Macaca mulatta: one gene and its partners. The protein of the gene in region 2 interacts with the protein of the main gene of each other region in a biochemical or structural test. Links are inferred from orthologs where the notes say so. Each region holds a gene or a part of one and is shown on either strand. Other genes may lie near its edges. The genes, in order: SMURF2, SMAD1 and ACVRL1.

What was found.
Region 1: the proteins of SMAD1 (region 2) and SMURF2 form a complex in vitro, tested with the Homo sapiens proteins (2 studies listed by BioGRID and IntAct, with this or other methods). The link is inferred for Macaca mulatta from reciprocal best matches to the Homo sapiens genes SMAD1 and SMURF2.
Region 3: of the proteins of SMAD1 (region 2) and ACVRL1, one has a biochemical effect on the other in vitro, tested with the Homo sapiens proteins (2 studies listed by BioGRID). The link is inferred for Macaca mulatta from reciprocal best matches to the Homo sapiens genes SMAD1 and ACVRL1.

The regions. Positions count from the first base shown.
Region 1 is NC_133421.1:74,559,160-74,564,754, forward strand, and holds the start of SMURF2 (E3 ubiquitin-protein ligase SMURF2), read right to left. Parts: upstream 2,978-5,595; 5' UTR 2,515-2,977; coding exon 2,463-2,514; intron 1-2,462. UniProt on the Homo sapiens protein: E3 ubiquitin-protein ligase which accepts ubiquitin from an E2 ubiquitin-conjugating enzyme in the form of a thioester and then directly transfers the ubiquitin to targeted substrates.
Region 2 is NC_133410.1:154,125,310-154,129,950, forward strand, and holds part of SMAD1 (mothers against decapentaplegic homolog 1), read left to right. Parts: intron 1-903; coding exon 904-1,160; intron 1,161-4,641. UniProt on the Homo sapiens protein: Transcriptional modulator that plays a role in various cellular processes, including embryonic development, cell differentiation, and tissue homeostasis.
Region 3 is NC_133416.1:59,087,766-59,093,360, reverse strand, and holds the start of ACVRL1 (activin receptor type-1-like), read right to left. Parts: upstream 3,501-5,595; 5' UTR 3,400-3,500; coding exon 3,259-3,399; intron 3,077-3,258; coding exon 2,878-3,076; intron 1-2,877. UniProt on the Homo sapiens protein: Type I receptor for TGF-beta family ligands BMP9/GDF2 and BMP10 and important regulator of normal blood vessel development. On ligand binding, forms a receptor complex consisting of two type II and two type I transmembrane serine/threonine kinases.

The DNA of each region.
Region 1 (5,595 bases), on a different chromosome or scaffold from region 2:
GTAAACCAAATATAAATTCACTGTGAGATCTGTCTTTTTTTAAGTGATTTTTTTTCCTCTATTAGGGAACCCAGATCTAAATGAACTGTTAAACACTTAGTCTAAAGGTACGCCAAACATTTCTTAAGGTCTTAACAAAGAATCAACTTTTTTTTTAAACAAAATGAGGCCTAGGTTAAATATTTTATTTGGCTTCTCAAGATGGACTGAGAAGTTGGGCACCAGCTCCAGACCAATTCCTGGACGCACATCAAACACAGCCCCGTCATTTATCCAGTCAGTCAAAACAATCTTTTCCATCTAACCCTTTAATGTTTATGTCCTAAAAAGCTGCTAATTGAATCCAGCTCTTGAGATCTATTTGCTAAAATCTATACCATCTAATTTGTAAATGATGAACAAAAATGGAAAAAAAAAATGTTAACTTTCCTGGCAAAACAGAAGAGACTCCACTGTAACCAAAGAAGGAAGGACAATGTTTTTAATATTTGTCAAATTTTGAGAGAAAACGATTCAGAGACAAATAGTTGTAAGAAACTCAGAGTACCTCAAACTGTTTTTACTATTAAGAGGACACAGGGTATTTAAAACTCCTCAGAAAAACCTGAAACAAAATCACTATAAATGTAGTGCAATATTCCCTCTTCCCCTAAAATATAAGCATAATCTTTCCTCTTAACAAACTTTAATTATAAATTTTTATAACGTATCATAGGTAGTACGGAAACCACAGATAAACACTTTAAGATCTACTGAGTCATACTAAAAACCTCAACTAACTTTATTTGAAGAAAATCAAAATCCCTATTTTTTCCCTCATCTATATAGCCCAGAGGAAAGTAAATGGAAACAGCCAATTTCTGATGCTTTCTGCACACCTGGGATCACATGTTCTTTCCACGATCACTGACTCCAGATAGCAACAGCAACAGATAAACTCGAAAGCAACAAAGATCCCCTATAAAGGTTTCCATTGTCTCCTCCCAATATAAGGACACTGAATGGGGGACAGCGGGGGAGAAGTGGGAATACAAGTATCCTGCAATCCAGGTTTTTCATTAAGAACCACTCAGTTAATGATTCCTTGCAATTTTCCCTAGGGAAAGGAAAACTGTCATGAAGGTAATATATTATTTAAATTGCAGCCAACATACATTCAAGCTAAATTCTCAAATACCAAATTCACTGCAAGGTTTCACCCAGCAAGTTCAGCCAGTGGACTGAGATGTGTCACATAAGCATTCAACTACAAAATTAGTCCAAATAAATCTCAAAGTCTAGTGTGGGCAAACATAATTACAGTTGATTCGTACACGTGCACGCACACACAAATCCTCTACGGAAAATTATCTTTCTCACCACTCACCCGAATATAAACGTGGACAATTTATCAGGGGTAAATGGTGAAGGTAGGATAACGACGTGATTTCAATTCCTTTTCAAACCAAATACAAGTGCTCCTAAAACGGGGGTGGCATGTCCATGTAAGAATACCAAAAATGGCACTGTAAGTAAAACGTACCTGTAATATTAAAGATTTCATGCACCTGGAATCATAAACACTTTGTAAGTGTAGTCTTCTATCTGACAACCCCTCCGGACATACTTTTCCATTTAGAAAAAGGAAGGGGGAGGGTGGGGAGAGTAACAGAAAGTTTGCTCTAAAGTTTGTATGAGGACATACTTAGAAATGTACCCCCTCCCTCCCCCCAAAAAAGTGTGTTTTTAAAGCAGGTCGGGAGTTAGAAGTGAGACACGAGTTCTGCGGCCTACAAGGAACAACCCCAAACATGCCACCCTACAATCAGACACTTCCAAAACACAGTGTACAATGAGCCCGAGCCGTCGGATCAGACAGGCACACCGGAAAAGTCAACCTGTCTCCTCTCCTCAGAGAGACGTGAGTTCAAGGTGTGTGGCCCCGGCAGCGGTGGCCGGCGGCGGGGAGTAAAGGTTTTTCATGCGGGCATAAGTGGGTGTGCAAGGTAACAACCCGGGAACACACACGCACACCCTCCCGTTAAGCGCTCCATCTTTAAGGAGTGTTTACTGCGCGCAGTCAGCAACCGGATTCAATAATCCTCGCCACGGGAGCTCTTCATCCCCTTCACGATCCCACCTGGGCGGTAGCCCAGGGGCTGCTCCCCGAGACCCGGGAGGCAGCGTCGGGCTCCTTGACCAAGACTTTCCGACCTGAAATCCGCCTGCGATGCGAACCGGTGTATCCTCCCCTCCACAAAAGACCACCCCCACCCCCCGCCCCGAGTCATCCTCGGCTTTTTAAAGAATGCCCAAGCCGTAGCAAGTGGTTTTCCAATTACTCTCCCTGAACTAGGCCTTCCCACTCCTCCGACCCCCAACTCACCATTGATCGCGACCCTGGCCCTTCCTAAGGCCACAGGCACCCCCCGCCAGCTCGCCCACCCCGCGGCTGCCCAGCCCGGCCCGCCGCCCCCCCTCACCTGTCAGGCGCAGCTTGACGGGCCCGTTCCTCCGGCCTCCGGGGTTAGACATGTCCCCGGCGGCGGGGGCGGCGGGCGGGACGGGGACGGGGGCGACGGCGAGGCGCGGCGGAGTCACCACAGCGGCCGGGGCTGGGGCCCGAGCAGCCGGCGCCGCGGCCGCCACGGCCGGAGGGTCCCGGATGTGCCGAGCGTCGTCGCCATGAGCCGCGGAGGGAGCGGGACGCCGAGCTCCCCCCTCCTCCCACTTCTCCTTCCTCGGCCCGGGCCGCACAACAAAGCGGCAGCCGCGGCCGCCCGCGCCGCCTCCGCCCGCGCCCCCGCCGCCTCCTCGCGGGCGCAGCGGCCTTTCCTTCCTCTCGTCTCGGCGAGGCCCAGTAGCCGACGGGGCTGGTCGGCTGAGGCGGGCGGTGCTCGGCGACGCCGGACCAGGACTCTGGGCTCGGCCGCTTCCTCCTCCACCCGCCCTCTTGTCTGAGGGACCCGGGACCTCGGGCCGCCGCCGCCACTCGTCTGCTCCAGGGGGCGGGGAGGAGACGGGAGGCGGGGCCGGCGGGCGGGGCGGGGCCAGCGGGGCGGGGCGGGGCCAGGGCGGGGTCGTCGGGCGCGCGCAGGGTGCCCCGGGCGGGCACCGGCTGTCAGAAAGGGTGTAAGTTGCCGCGGAGGGTCCCACGAGGAACGCGGGGAGGGAGCAGGCAGGGAGCAAAGTGGCGGCGGGCGCGGCAGCTCTGTGACACCTGGAGGGATTTAGTGTCCGGTCCACTTAAGGGAGAGCTTTTGTCCCAACAGCGCCGACTGCATTTATTAGACGCCCACTGCGTGCAGGGCGCTCCTAGAGACTGGGGCGAGGAAGGTTAGAACCGAGTCCGCTGCCTCCCGGGAACTTAGCGTCTTTCGGACGAGGGAAGAGACCGCATTCCCACGCCGATGGTTCCAGCAAAACCCCAGGAGTGCTCTGCTCCTAGTCTTGTAGTTGACACCTCCATCCGGAACTCACCTGGTGGAGGAGATAGGGTTACCTGCCGACTCCCGCTCTTTTCAGGTGCAGCCAAGGATGGGGAGATGATACGTCTTAAAGGATTAACAAGATAAACCTTGGAGAGTAATGTGTGAAGAGTTGTTAATACACTACTGTATTTCGTTATCTCAGGAGGAGAAATTTTTAAAAAAAAATGTGCGCCTTATCCTTTGACCTTGTAACTGTACTGCTAGAAATATTTTTTCTTTTTTTGGACAGGGTCTCCCTCTGTCATCCAGGCTGGACTACAGTGGTGCGATCACGGCTCCCCGCAGTCTCAACTTCCCGGGTTCAGGTGATCCTCCCACCTGAGCCTCTGGACTAGCTGGGACCAAAAGTGTGCACCGCTACGCCCCACTAATTTTTGTATTTTTAGTAGAGACATGTTTAGAAGAGACATTTAGGTTTTCCCATGTTGCCCAGGCTGGTCACGAACTCCTGACGTCAAGCGATCCGCCCGCCTCGGCCTCCCAAAGTGCTGGGATTACAGACCTGAGCCACCTCACTGGCCCTATTCTTGACAAATAATCGTACAGAAGATGTTCTTTGTTATATTCCATTAATACCAAAAGGGGAATGAGGGAACAGCATAATGGTCCAGGAACCGCATGGTTTTTTATGCAGCCATATAACTATTTTTATGAAGATCATATACTATGGAAGAATGTATATGTAATGCAAAGTTTAAAAGCAGAATAGAAGTTGTATGCATATACATGTGAAAATATCTAGCACAATGTAAACTACTGACAACAGCGTGGGGGATTTTTTATGTGATTCCTTAGTTTTGCTTTAGGCTATTATAACATTAATGCAATTTTAAATGTTTTGGATTAATATATTTTAATCCTTATTCCATGCCGGTTATTTCTTTTAATGCATCAGTGGAGTCACTTCTCCAGATAGTTACCTCTAAGAGCATTTCATCAGTTTGGATACAGATATACAATTAAAAGTAATCCAAAAAAGTATATGAAGTTCTAGATATCACACTAAAAATACCACAGATAGACCGGTCACAGTGGCTCATGCCTGTAATTCCAACACTTTGGGAGGCCCAGGAGGGCGGATAATTTGAGGTCAGGAGTTCGAGACCAGCCTGGCCAACATGGTGAACTCCTGTCTGTACTAAAAAATATATATATAAAAATTAGCCAGGCGTGGTGGTGCATGCCTGTGGTCTCAGCAATTAGGAAGGCTGAGGCACAAGAATCGCTTGAACATGGGAGGTTGCAGTGAGCCGAGATCACACCACTGCACTTCAGCCTGGGTGACAGAGCGAGACTCCATATCAAAAATAAATACATAAATAAATAAAAATAAAAATACCAGAGATAGTGCCAGCAAATCATTCAACAAATATTAAGTGGTCATTTTGTGCAAAGCAATGAACAAGGTCCTTTAGAAATGCTTCCTTGTACTACAAACATATAGAAATCAACGTGAACGATAGCTGCTACCACAATTTAAGAGGCCAGTGACAAAAAACTTAGCAAACTGATGTACACATTCACATTTGCCTTATTTTTATGGCACACGCTTTGTTCCCAACCACCCAACGAACATAATTTGTAGCCTTGTATTAGGTAATAGAAGTTAGGATTTCAGAACGTGATGGGAGACCTGGGGAAGACTGCTTGTTTTGAAGTTGAAAGCAGTACATTCAAATATGTGACAGCATAGAAAAATGTGTATAGGGTTAATGTGCAGAGGTTTGTATTTAAGCTTTCCTGTAAGGTTAAATCCTGTTGTTTACAACAAATATTCAGATAAGAATAACACTGTAAAATCATTCAAGGCCTGGGCATGGTGACTCATGCCTGTAATCCTAGCACTTTGGGAGGCTGAGGCAGAGGAGTCACTTGAGCCCAGGAGTTTGAAACCAGCCAGGGCAATATGGCAACACCCCACATCTACAAAAATTAGCCAGGAGTGGTGGCATGCACCTATAGGCCCAGCTACTTGGAAGGCTGAGATAGGAGGATCACCTGAGCCCACGGAGGTCAAGGTTGCAGTGAGCTGTGATCACGCCACTGTTTTCCAGTGCCACTGCATTCCACCCTGGGCAGCAGACTGAGACTATCACAAAAATACAAAGAAAATCAATATACTGGT
Region 2 (4,641 bases):
CCAAAATGAAATCGCTTCATTTTGTTGTTGTTGTTGTTGTTATTTGAGACAGGGTCTCACTCTGTCACCCAATCTGGAGTGCAGTGGCTTGATCACAGCTCACTGCAGCCTTGACCTCCTTGCCTCATGCAATCCTGCCACCTCAGCCTCTGTGTAATTGGGACTACAGGTGTGCACCACTGTGCCTAGCTGATGTTTTTTCTTTTTTTTCTTTCTTTTTTTTTTTTTGGTGGAGATGGGGTTTCGCCATGCTGCCCAGGCTAGTCTTGAACTCCTGAACTCAAGCAATCTGTCCACCTTGGCTTCCCAAAGTGCCGAGATTACAGGTCTGAACCACTGTGCCTGGCCTATTAGTATTTTTTTAAACATTTTGTTATTTTTCTAGAAACCTCCTAGATACTGTGTTAACTAATACAGTTAACTAAGATTTTATCAATCATACATCAGCCATCCCCAATCTTTTGGCACCAGGGACCGATTTCATGGAAGACAATTTTTCCACAGGGGATGGGGAAGGGATAGTTTCAGGATGAAACTGTTCCACTCAGATCATCAGGCATTAGATTCTCATAAGGAGCACGCAACCTAGATCCCTCACATGCACAGTTCACAATAGGGTTCATGCTTCTATGAGCATCTAATGCTGCCACTGATCTGACAGGAGGAGGAGCTCGGACTGTAATGCTTGCTCACTCACCTCCTGCTGTGTAACAGGCCACGGACTGATACAGGTCCATGGCCTCGGGGGTTGGGGACCCCTGTTGTACAGGACTTAGAGAATAGCTATCTAACTAGCCGAAGTTTAAATCCATGTAAATTTAAGTTTCTGTGTTGAAGCTGCACAGGTGCCTTTGAGCTATAAAAATTAATAATAACTAAATTATATGCTTTGTCTTCCAATAGGAGTTCATCTTTATTATGTTGGAGGGGAGGTATATGCCGAATGCCTTAGTGACAGTAGCATCTTTGTGCAAAGTCGGAACTGCAACTACCATCATGGATTTCATCCTACTACTGTTTGCAAGATCCCTAGTGGGTGTAGTCTGAAAATTTTTAACAACCAAGAATTTGCTCAGTTATTGGCACAGTCTGTGAACCATGGATTTGAGACAGTCTATGAGCTTACAAAAATGTGTACTATACGTATGAGCTTTGTGAAGGTAAGTGAACTCTGACTCCTCCATTTAGGGTCTAACATACTTTTGCTGTGCTTTTTTTTTTTTTTGGCAATATGTGAATCTATATCTTCTTGATAATATGTTTATATTAGCTGACTTATTATCTAGGCATTTTTAAACTGTAACAAGAGTGTCAATTATTAGGAAAATATCATAGGAACATAGGAGTACTTGTATTAAATATCAATAGCTGTGGGTTTTAATAGCCTTTTCCTTATTCAGATAGCACCGCTTTAGCTATTGTATTACCAGTAGAATATGTTATGTTACATATTTAAAATATAATTTAAATACATGGTTGTTTTACAAGATCAGTTGAGTAAACATATCTTCCTTACTTTTCGTTCTTTGTTTTTAGTACTTTTATGATGGTAATGCTTGTTTTTGTTTCAAGAGTAAGGAAGTGATCTTTTTGTAAAAATTAAAGTTCATCACATTGGAAATTGTGTTTGGTCAGGTTTTTTTAGTGGTTTCAGTAAGCCTCATGATTTTCTTAACAATTCAAAAGTTAATAAGGCCCTTGCCCAAGATAAATAGATGCCTTAGCTCAAAGATTGCATTGTAAGGTTTGATGAGGGAGAAGGTTAAACACATTGCTCATAATAATTGATCTTTTTGCTGTCTCATCTTCTGCCTCTGAGAAATAAAAATTTTTAGGATGCCATTGAAATCTAAAAAACCTTAAATGTCTGATTAGATTTCATGAGTCAGTGACTTATTCTAGTAACTGACCTGTCTCTGAATTCTCAAAAATAAGTTTCATCCTCTTGTACTTTGAGAAACAGAACTAATTATATATTTGAGTGAGGCAATTACCTTTTATGTCTTCTGTTCAGAAGCTCACAAAACTTGTTGTTAAACCTGTTTTGTAATGTATTTATTACTGAGGATAATTTTGGAGCCTTACTTGTTAATCATCCCTTAGATCAAAGATACCTTTTCCTGAATATAATTACTTTTCCTACTTATTTAAAGCATCTTAGATTTTCAGTGTGTTCCCTTAGTGTTTGTTTTTGTTTGTTTGCTTGCTTGCTTCCTTTTTGCAGTGTACTTCAACAGTTATTTGTAGCTGAGTCTGGTACCTTGTTAGTATTAAGAAATTTTTTTTACACTTTGAAGAGGTTGACCTATATGCTATGTACATATGGGGCTACAAAGACCTATCTTATTCATTATTAACATGTGCTGTTTAATTTTTGACTTAGCATTTGGCTCAAATGGTTTTTAAAATTAGAACAGTGACCTGCCAGAAGTGTTTTCGTTTATTGTTTTTATTGGTATGGAGGAAAGAACAACTCTTGAGAGTCGAGGTGCAGTTTCCAGTTTTTTCCTGCCATTTTAACTGTGTGATTAAGGCAGATTTCTTCTCTGGTTCTCATCTTTATTATCTTTGAAATGGGGGTGGATGGAGTTGAGAACTGTGGTAATTATTATTAAGGTCCCTTAGTGAGTCTATTATTGAAGGACCACTCTAGGAGAATTTATGACTTTAATGTTCCAATTAGCTTCCTGCTCAAACTCATTTCTTATTGTTTATCCAATCAATGTTCATTATTTTACTTTTGTACAGTTTTAATAATTTACTTTTACACAAGTAAAAACTTTTACACTAATAAAAGTATTTATAATGCAAAGTTATGCATTCAAAATTTATTAGATTTTATTCGTTCAGCAGATATTTTAGCACTATTTCAGAGAAGTAATACAAAGATGAAAAAGCACCTAAAGTCTCTATTATCAAGATCCTTATGCTCTAGTATATCTTTAATTATAATCTGATAAGCACTAGAATGGAGAATTATACAAGATATAATGAACTTAGCCTGGAAGTTGGATTTAGAGAGCCGAAGGTAAATAATATTTAAAAATCCTGCTGAATGTTAAAGAGAAACTGTTTATCATATATTAGCAACAAAAAATGTGCACACTGTTTTTACAGAACTGTTCTTTATTATATGGACTGCACACTTTATCCTCTCCCACTCAACATTTTAAAGAAATTGTAACAGAACATTTTACTAACAGTAGCCAATCTTGAGCTGTTTTCAAAATGATTTTTGGATGTTAACATAAAACATATTTTATAAATTATTTGTACTTTAAACTCTATGTCTGAAAAGTCCAAGTCAGCTCAGCTGAACACATATTTATAGAGCTTCTGCCTTCTGTCGTTATGCTATATATCGGAGGTAAAGATAAATTCCTGCCTTCAAAGATGTTGATATCTGATGGAGGAAACCTGCACATAAGCCTGTAAATTAAATTTAGGAGTTTGTTTATATTTACAAACGCATGAGTGTACGTACATCTATGTAGATACATATATCTATATAGATGTAGTTTATACAAGTTTTGATGTTCGGATACATTTCCTTTTCTTTCTTTCTTTTTTTTTTTTTTTTTTAAGACAGAGTCTTGCTCTGTCGCCCAGTCTGGAGTGCAATGGTGTGATCTCGGCTCACTACAACCTCCGCCTCCCAGGTTCAAGCAATTCTCCTGCCTCAGGCTCCCGAGTAACTGGGATTACAGGCGTGTGCCACAGCACCCGGCTAATTTCTGTATTTTTAGTAGAGTCAGAGTTTCGCCATGTTGGCCAGGCTGGTCTCAAACTCCTGACCTCTAGTGATCCACCTGCCTGAGACAGAGTCTTGCTCTGTCACCCAGGCCGGAGTGCAGTGGTGTGATCTTGACTCGTGGTAACCTCCGCCTCCTGGATTCAAGTGATTCTCATGCCTAAGCTTCCCAAGTAGCGGGGATTACAGGGATACACCACCACACCTGGCTACTTTTTATATTTTTAGTAGAGATGGGGTTTCACCATGTTGGCCAGGCTGGTCTGGAGCTCCCGACCTCAGGTGATCTGCCCGTCTTGGACTCCCAAAGTGCTGGGATTACAGGTGTGAGCCACCGCACCTGGCCCCAGATCTATTTCTTAAAACTACTGGAGTAGATAGGTAGCAGAAATAAATAGAACCCAACCTTCTCTGATACTCCTCATGAAACAGTGACTAAAGGATTAATCATTGTCCATCCCCACCAGTGAGTTTTTGATCTTTGCAGTAGCAGTTACTTTTCTCTTTTTCATAGTGACTTTATTCTGTGGAACTCTACTGTCTTAATGCAGTAGTTCTGACAAGCTACCTTCTTGTACAAATGAATGATAGAATGTATTGATTCATGGCAATGGCTAGGTGTCAATAATAGCTTTTTGGATACTTAAATGTACTCCTGCCCGTTTTGCTTAGAGATTGAAAGATCAAGAGCTGTGTGTTGATAGGAGGCTGATTCAGTGGCCGAATAAGGAAGAAATTGAATGTCAGTCTGTCTAGCATAGCTTTTTTGTTTTATTTTCTTGATAAAATGAGAATTTAATAATAGCTATTACATTACTATCAGAAATGGGCAATTAAAATAAAAGTTTTACAGTGCCTTTATTAAGACAACTTTATAATGTATTTTAAAA
Region 3 (5,595 bases), on a different chromosome or scaffold from region 2:
AATCCGGCGTTCCTCTAGGACCCTCTGTCCGTACCTCTAGTTCTCTGGCCGTGCCCCAGTCCACCCTCCTTCTACTTTATCATGCATCGGAATCACCTGAAGTGCTCAATTAGTAAAGCATATTCACTGGTTTCACCCTCACTACAGACTCTGATTCAGTCCTGGAATCAGCAAGAAACATGCATTTTTTAAAAGTTTCCCAGGGAGTTCTGATCAGTTTGTGTGGGCACCACTCTTTGAGAAATGGGTCCTGCACAATGCTAAGTCTGGTTCCTCTGCTTTCATTTTGCTGTACAGGGCCCTGCTGGGTGAGTGGGAGTGGGACGCAGAGGGAGGGGACACTCACTCCCACCCAGGACCCTCCCCATCTACTAGAGAAGGGACAGCCAAGGGTAAACACCAAAGCCGGGACTTGGTGACACTGTGGAGCGAGGCCTGTCTGCATCTGCAGAACCCATCTTTGGTCTAATCCTGGGAATGTGATGGAGTAAAATTGGGACTGTCCAATTTTTAACTGGACCCAGTGTGAGGTCAAGAACAGAAGGGTGCTGAGTCCTGACCAGTTCAAACTCAGAGCTGACTCTTTACAATTTGCCCTAAAATCTGACTGTAGCACAAACAGACTCCTGGGGCCTGGCAGGATCCTTTCACTTCTAAGCAAAACTTTGTGAAAGATCTCCTGCTGACAGAAGCATCACTATTGTTGGCCAGAAATTACAAACGTTAAACTAAATTCAAACGTTAGCTAAACACTATGAAGTAATAATAACAGTTAACCTTCTCTGAGTACTAATTATGTGCTAAGTACTGAACTTGAATGGTTTATCTGATTTAATCATCACAACAGTCCAATGGGGGAAAGTGAGGTTCAGAGATGTTAGGTTTCCTGTCCATAGTCACTGAGTGTGTCTTAATAAACTTAAATTGCTGATAATAAATCCTTCCTTGGTCGTTGTTATTCCTCCAATTGTTTGGGGTTAGATGAGTTCCTCAAAGGAAGAAAAAGACATGGGTCTCGGTGGACATGAACAAATTGCCCACTGCTGTTGTTATTAACGGGTGCCCTACTCAGATTTGTTTAAATGCAGACAGCGTTTTTGTTTGTTTTTAATTTTTTTTGAGACAGGGTCTTGCTCAGTTGCCCAGGCTGAAGTGCGGTGGTGCAATCATAGCTCACTGTAACCTTGAACTCCTGAGCTCAAGTGATCCTCCCACCTCAGCCTCCCAAGTGGCTGGGACTACAGGGGGGTGCAGCACCATGCCCAGTTTTATTTTTAGTAGAGATAGGGTCTCACTATGTTGCCCCAGGCAACAGTGTTGCTGCCCAGAAATCATCAGTTTGCCATAGGCGTAGTCAAAGTCTGAGCCTTCCGTGGGGAGAGCCAGAGTAGTGGTATGCCCCAAAGGTGCTTATCAATCTTTTTCTCCCCAGCACACCTGAAGGATTGATAAAACCCACTCCCATCAACGGCAGTGGCTCAGCACAGCCGTGATTGTCACAGGGCTGGAGAAGCACCATCTCAAGCACAACCTTCTGGACTCACTCTGCACTTCAGTAGGCCTTACCCCAACAGCAGAGGACCAGACCCAGCTGTTCATATTGGGTTGCCCCTACGATTCATCCACGTGATTTATTAGCCCCTCACAGCGGGGTGATGCAGCGGAACAAGCCTGGATTTTCAGGTCTCAGGCAGACCATGGAGGCAGCACAGAGTAGCACAGAGGTTAGGGTGTGGGCTCAGGAGCATGGAGACCTGGGTTCAAATCCTGCCTTTGCCTCTTAGAGGCATGAGATTTGAAACAAGTTACTTAAACTTTCTGAGGCTTAGGCTTCCCATCATATGTAAAGTGGGAATAATAGTGTTATCTCATAGGTAAAATGTAGCAAAATTATTTAGCAGAGTATAAGTAGTATACAGTAAGCACTTAAATGTTATCAAGACCCCAACCATGCCATTTACCCCACCATCCAAGGAGTTTTGGACAAGTTATTCATGTCTGTTTCCTTTTCTGTAGGATGGACATAGTAACCCCTCTTCCACTAGGTTGTGACCAGGATTACATGAGAAAAAAATGTATCTAAGTGTCTACATAGTTAGTACTCAATAAATGGTAGCTATTTCTAACAAACCAATGAAATGGGAGGACAGGTGAGAGAACAGGTATGAGGACCGACCCTGACTCAGCCAGAAGCTGGTAGAGAGGGTGAGAGCAACTGTCCATTATACCCCTGTCCTTGGAGAAGGAAAGAGGAGCTGGGGCAGCCAGCTCAGCCGTGGGTTTCACAGCACTGGCCTCCAGGGCAGATGGAAAATCTGGGGTCCCAGCCTGGAGGGAGACTGGGATCCCCTTTGGCCTGGGTCCTGAAGGAAGGTCGTGGAACGGAGATGACTGACCATGCGAGGCTGGGGGTGAGGCTCCTTGGTTGGAATGATAGTGTCAGATTCCTCAAGCAACAACTGGAAGGACTGGTCTGGGAAAGGTGAGCTCTGCGGGGAGTCTCAACAGCTGTGGAAGTGGACATTCACTCCAGGTCCACACAGCGGCCTGGAGGACGTGTGATCCCTTCTATGTGAGTAGAGCAAGACAAGAATCCCACTGCCCATTTTATGAAGAGGGTAGAACAGAGAAGTGAAGTCACTGACTTAGAGCCAAGTTTCTGATTTCCAGTCGGGTCTCGTCCAGTCCCCTCCTCTCAGGTAGGGTCATGGGTAAGCTGTGCGGGGTCAGCCAGGGGCAGCTTGCGTTTCTAATGAGCTGGGATTGAGCCTACCACGACCACTCTGCGGTGACTCTGGGGTCCGCCCGAAGGAACGGCCCACTGATGCGGGGGTCAGGCCGCCCGCCACCCGGTCCCGTCCGCGGACGTCGACTCACCTCTGGGCCCGCTCTGCGGGTGGCGGGGCGCGAGCCTTCGGTGGGCCGGGGCCACCTCCCCTCCACCGCGCGGCCGCGGTTGCACCGCGAGCGCTGGACTGCGGGCTGGGGTCCGGGCGCGGCCTCGGACCGGGCTGGAGCCGGGGAGGGGCTCGCTCGGCGCGGTTGGCGCAGCGGCCTCCCGGGACTGGGATGGGGGCTGGAGCAAAAATGTTTCTTATTCCAGCGTCTTCCTGCCTGGCCCAGCTCCACCACTCCCTCCTAATAAACCGTTTCCTTATTGCCCAGCTCGCCGACTGGCCGCCGCTCGCCCCTCGCTGGGGCTGCAGGACCGGGACCCTCCCCCGCGCCGCTCCCAGCCCCTCAGGGGGCCTCCCCTACCAGCAGCCCGCAGCTCCCGGATCGCTGGCCAGCACCCGGGCCGGACCTCCCACATCCGCCTCCCCGAGGGGGCGGGCCTTTGACTCGGGCTGTGGGGGTCCTGTGGGGGTCCCATAGGGGTCCCGTGGGGTCTGGACCCATAGCCGTGGGAGACAGAGGCGAAACTGTAGGCAATGTCTGGCGGCCGGAGCAGTGGGTGGGGGTAGAGGGGGATGGCTGGCAGCATCGGAGGGGCCGCCTGGGATCTGGGCGCTGGGAAGGGGCCACCAAGGAAGGGACAGGCGGGGGTGAGACGGGGAGGGACACTACCTATCCTTACCCCACCCTCAGCCCGGGGTCCTCGGTCTAGGAGGCTTGGAGCAGTGAGGGCAGAGTTTGGGGCTAGCAAAAGTCCAGATGCGTTTTGGCTCCGCCCTCGGGAACTCCCGACTTGGCCCAAATCCTTCAGTCCCCTCCCTCGGGCCCCTTCATCCCTCATTTGTCCCATCCTCTCTTCAGCAGCCTCTCCCCATCCGCACTCAGCACAGGGGTATACAGGCCCAGAGGGACAGCCTTGGGTTAGCCCTGAGGATGGTTTGAGCCCTTCCTGGCCGCTGTGCAGCTGGGTGACAAAGACACCCCCGCCCCTCCAGGGACGGTCAGCATGGAGGGACACGATGGGAGCTGCCTTGGACCTTCCCCTTCCAGGCAGGGCCCCCACCCCAGCAAATGGAACTTTAAATAGAGGTGGGGAAGGGAGCCTCCCTGGAACACTGCTGACACAAGGCAGCTGGGGAGGGAAGCAGAATGGCTTCACATAGGCAGCGGAGGGGCACACAGACTCTTCCTGGTGCGCCTGCACAGGCTGGGAGCACTGACCTCACTGCCCTGCTTTGCTCCAACCACCTGACTACCTGCAGGACTCTGGTCTTAGTCCTAGCCTCCTGGTTATCCACAGAGACTCTGAAGTCAAACTACCTACTAGGAAGGCAGGCTGGTTGTGTTACCGTAGGCTAGTGACACCTCTCCATGCTTCAGTCCCCCATCTGCTAAATAGGCATAGTAAACGGTGCCAGCCTCATAGGGTGGTTGTGAGAATAGAAGGAAATGATGCTTATCTCAGCTCATAGCAAAGATGCTGGCTGGCTGAGCCTGACTCAGAGGAGGCCCTCAATGAAGGCGTTTGTTAATTAAATGAATAAATGAAAAGGCTGGGGAGGGGGTGGCCTCAGAGACACTTGGAAAGACGTGGGTATTAGAAGCAGGAGTAGACCTCTAAGGTGTCTTACTCTAATATGGGGATTCTACAAGATGAGCCAGGGACCCCTCCCCCCGCCCCGCCCCGCCTTTTGACAGGAATAGAGGCTGGGGGAGATAATGGCTAAAAGCTCAGACAGGCATCAATTATTGACTGACCTCACTTCCTCTGCTGAAACCCTCCCCATCCCCCACCCTGCAGCTGCTTCACAAGTTGTGAGCGTCGTGAATTCCCAGAACCCTGACACACCCAAATTTCAGTGTCAGGACAGAACTGTGTCCTGCAGCCAATAGGAAGTACTATGGGATTACGATATCTGCTCTTTCAGATTATAGCGGCCACTTGGGCTCTCTATGAGCTGGAGAACTGGGAGCCTGGCTGCAGGTCTGTCTTTCACACTGTCTCTCCCTGCTCTGCTATGGCTTCTGGTCAACCTTTTCCTCCCCCAACCCCCAGATCTCTGTCTTGAGAAGCGAGAGTGGGGGCTTCCCAAGGGAAGCCTTCGGTCTGAGAGGCACACTGAGCACAGAGACTTCAAGATGGACGAGAGCTGAGAGTCACTTCTGACAGTCAGCGAGGGATGGAAGACTATCTGCAGAGTTTGTGAAACGGATAAAAATAGAGTACATTTTGGGAGTTGGAAGAGAAGACCCAGGGGGGCTGGGGTCTGTTCATCAGTGCTGGAGTCTTCCCCCTGTCCCCGGAGCACTGAGCCCTCTGGCCCCTGACTAGTGCTCTTTGGGGCTCTTGTGAACCCCATGCCTTCCAAAGCACACAGAGAACCTGGGGGAGGTGTCAGAGTTGGAGATCCAGAGTTGGAGAAAGCCCTAGAGAGTCATCCCAATGAGAAAAGGGAAAAGGAATTACAGACTGTGTCCAAGTCTGCAAGAATTAATTACTCAGAGGGACCAGCTGTTCCCCATATTCAGTGAGGACAGAACAAGAGGAAACAGGCCCAAAGGACAATTTAGATAGTCAGAAGGATTTCCCAACAGTGCAGGAAGCAGAGGCCTGAAGATTCTGTGTGGGGTGAAACCTCGAGGAGATTCTCATCTGTGGAAGGCGGGTGACATGGAGTCTGTCAGGAAGGCAGGGCAATG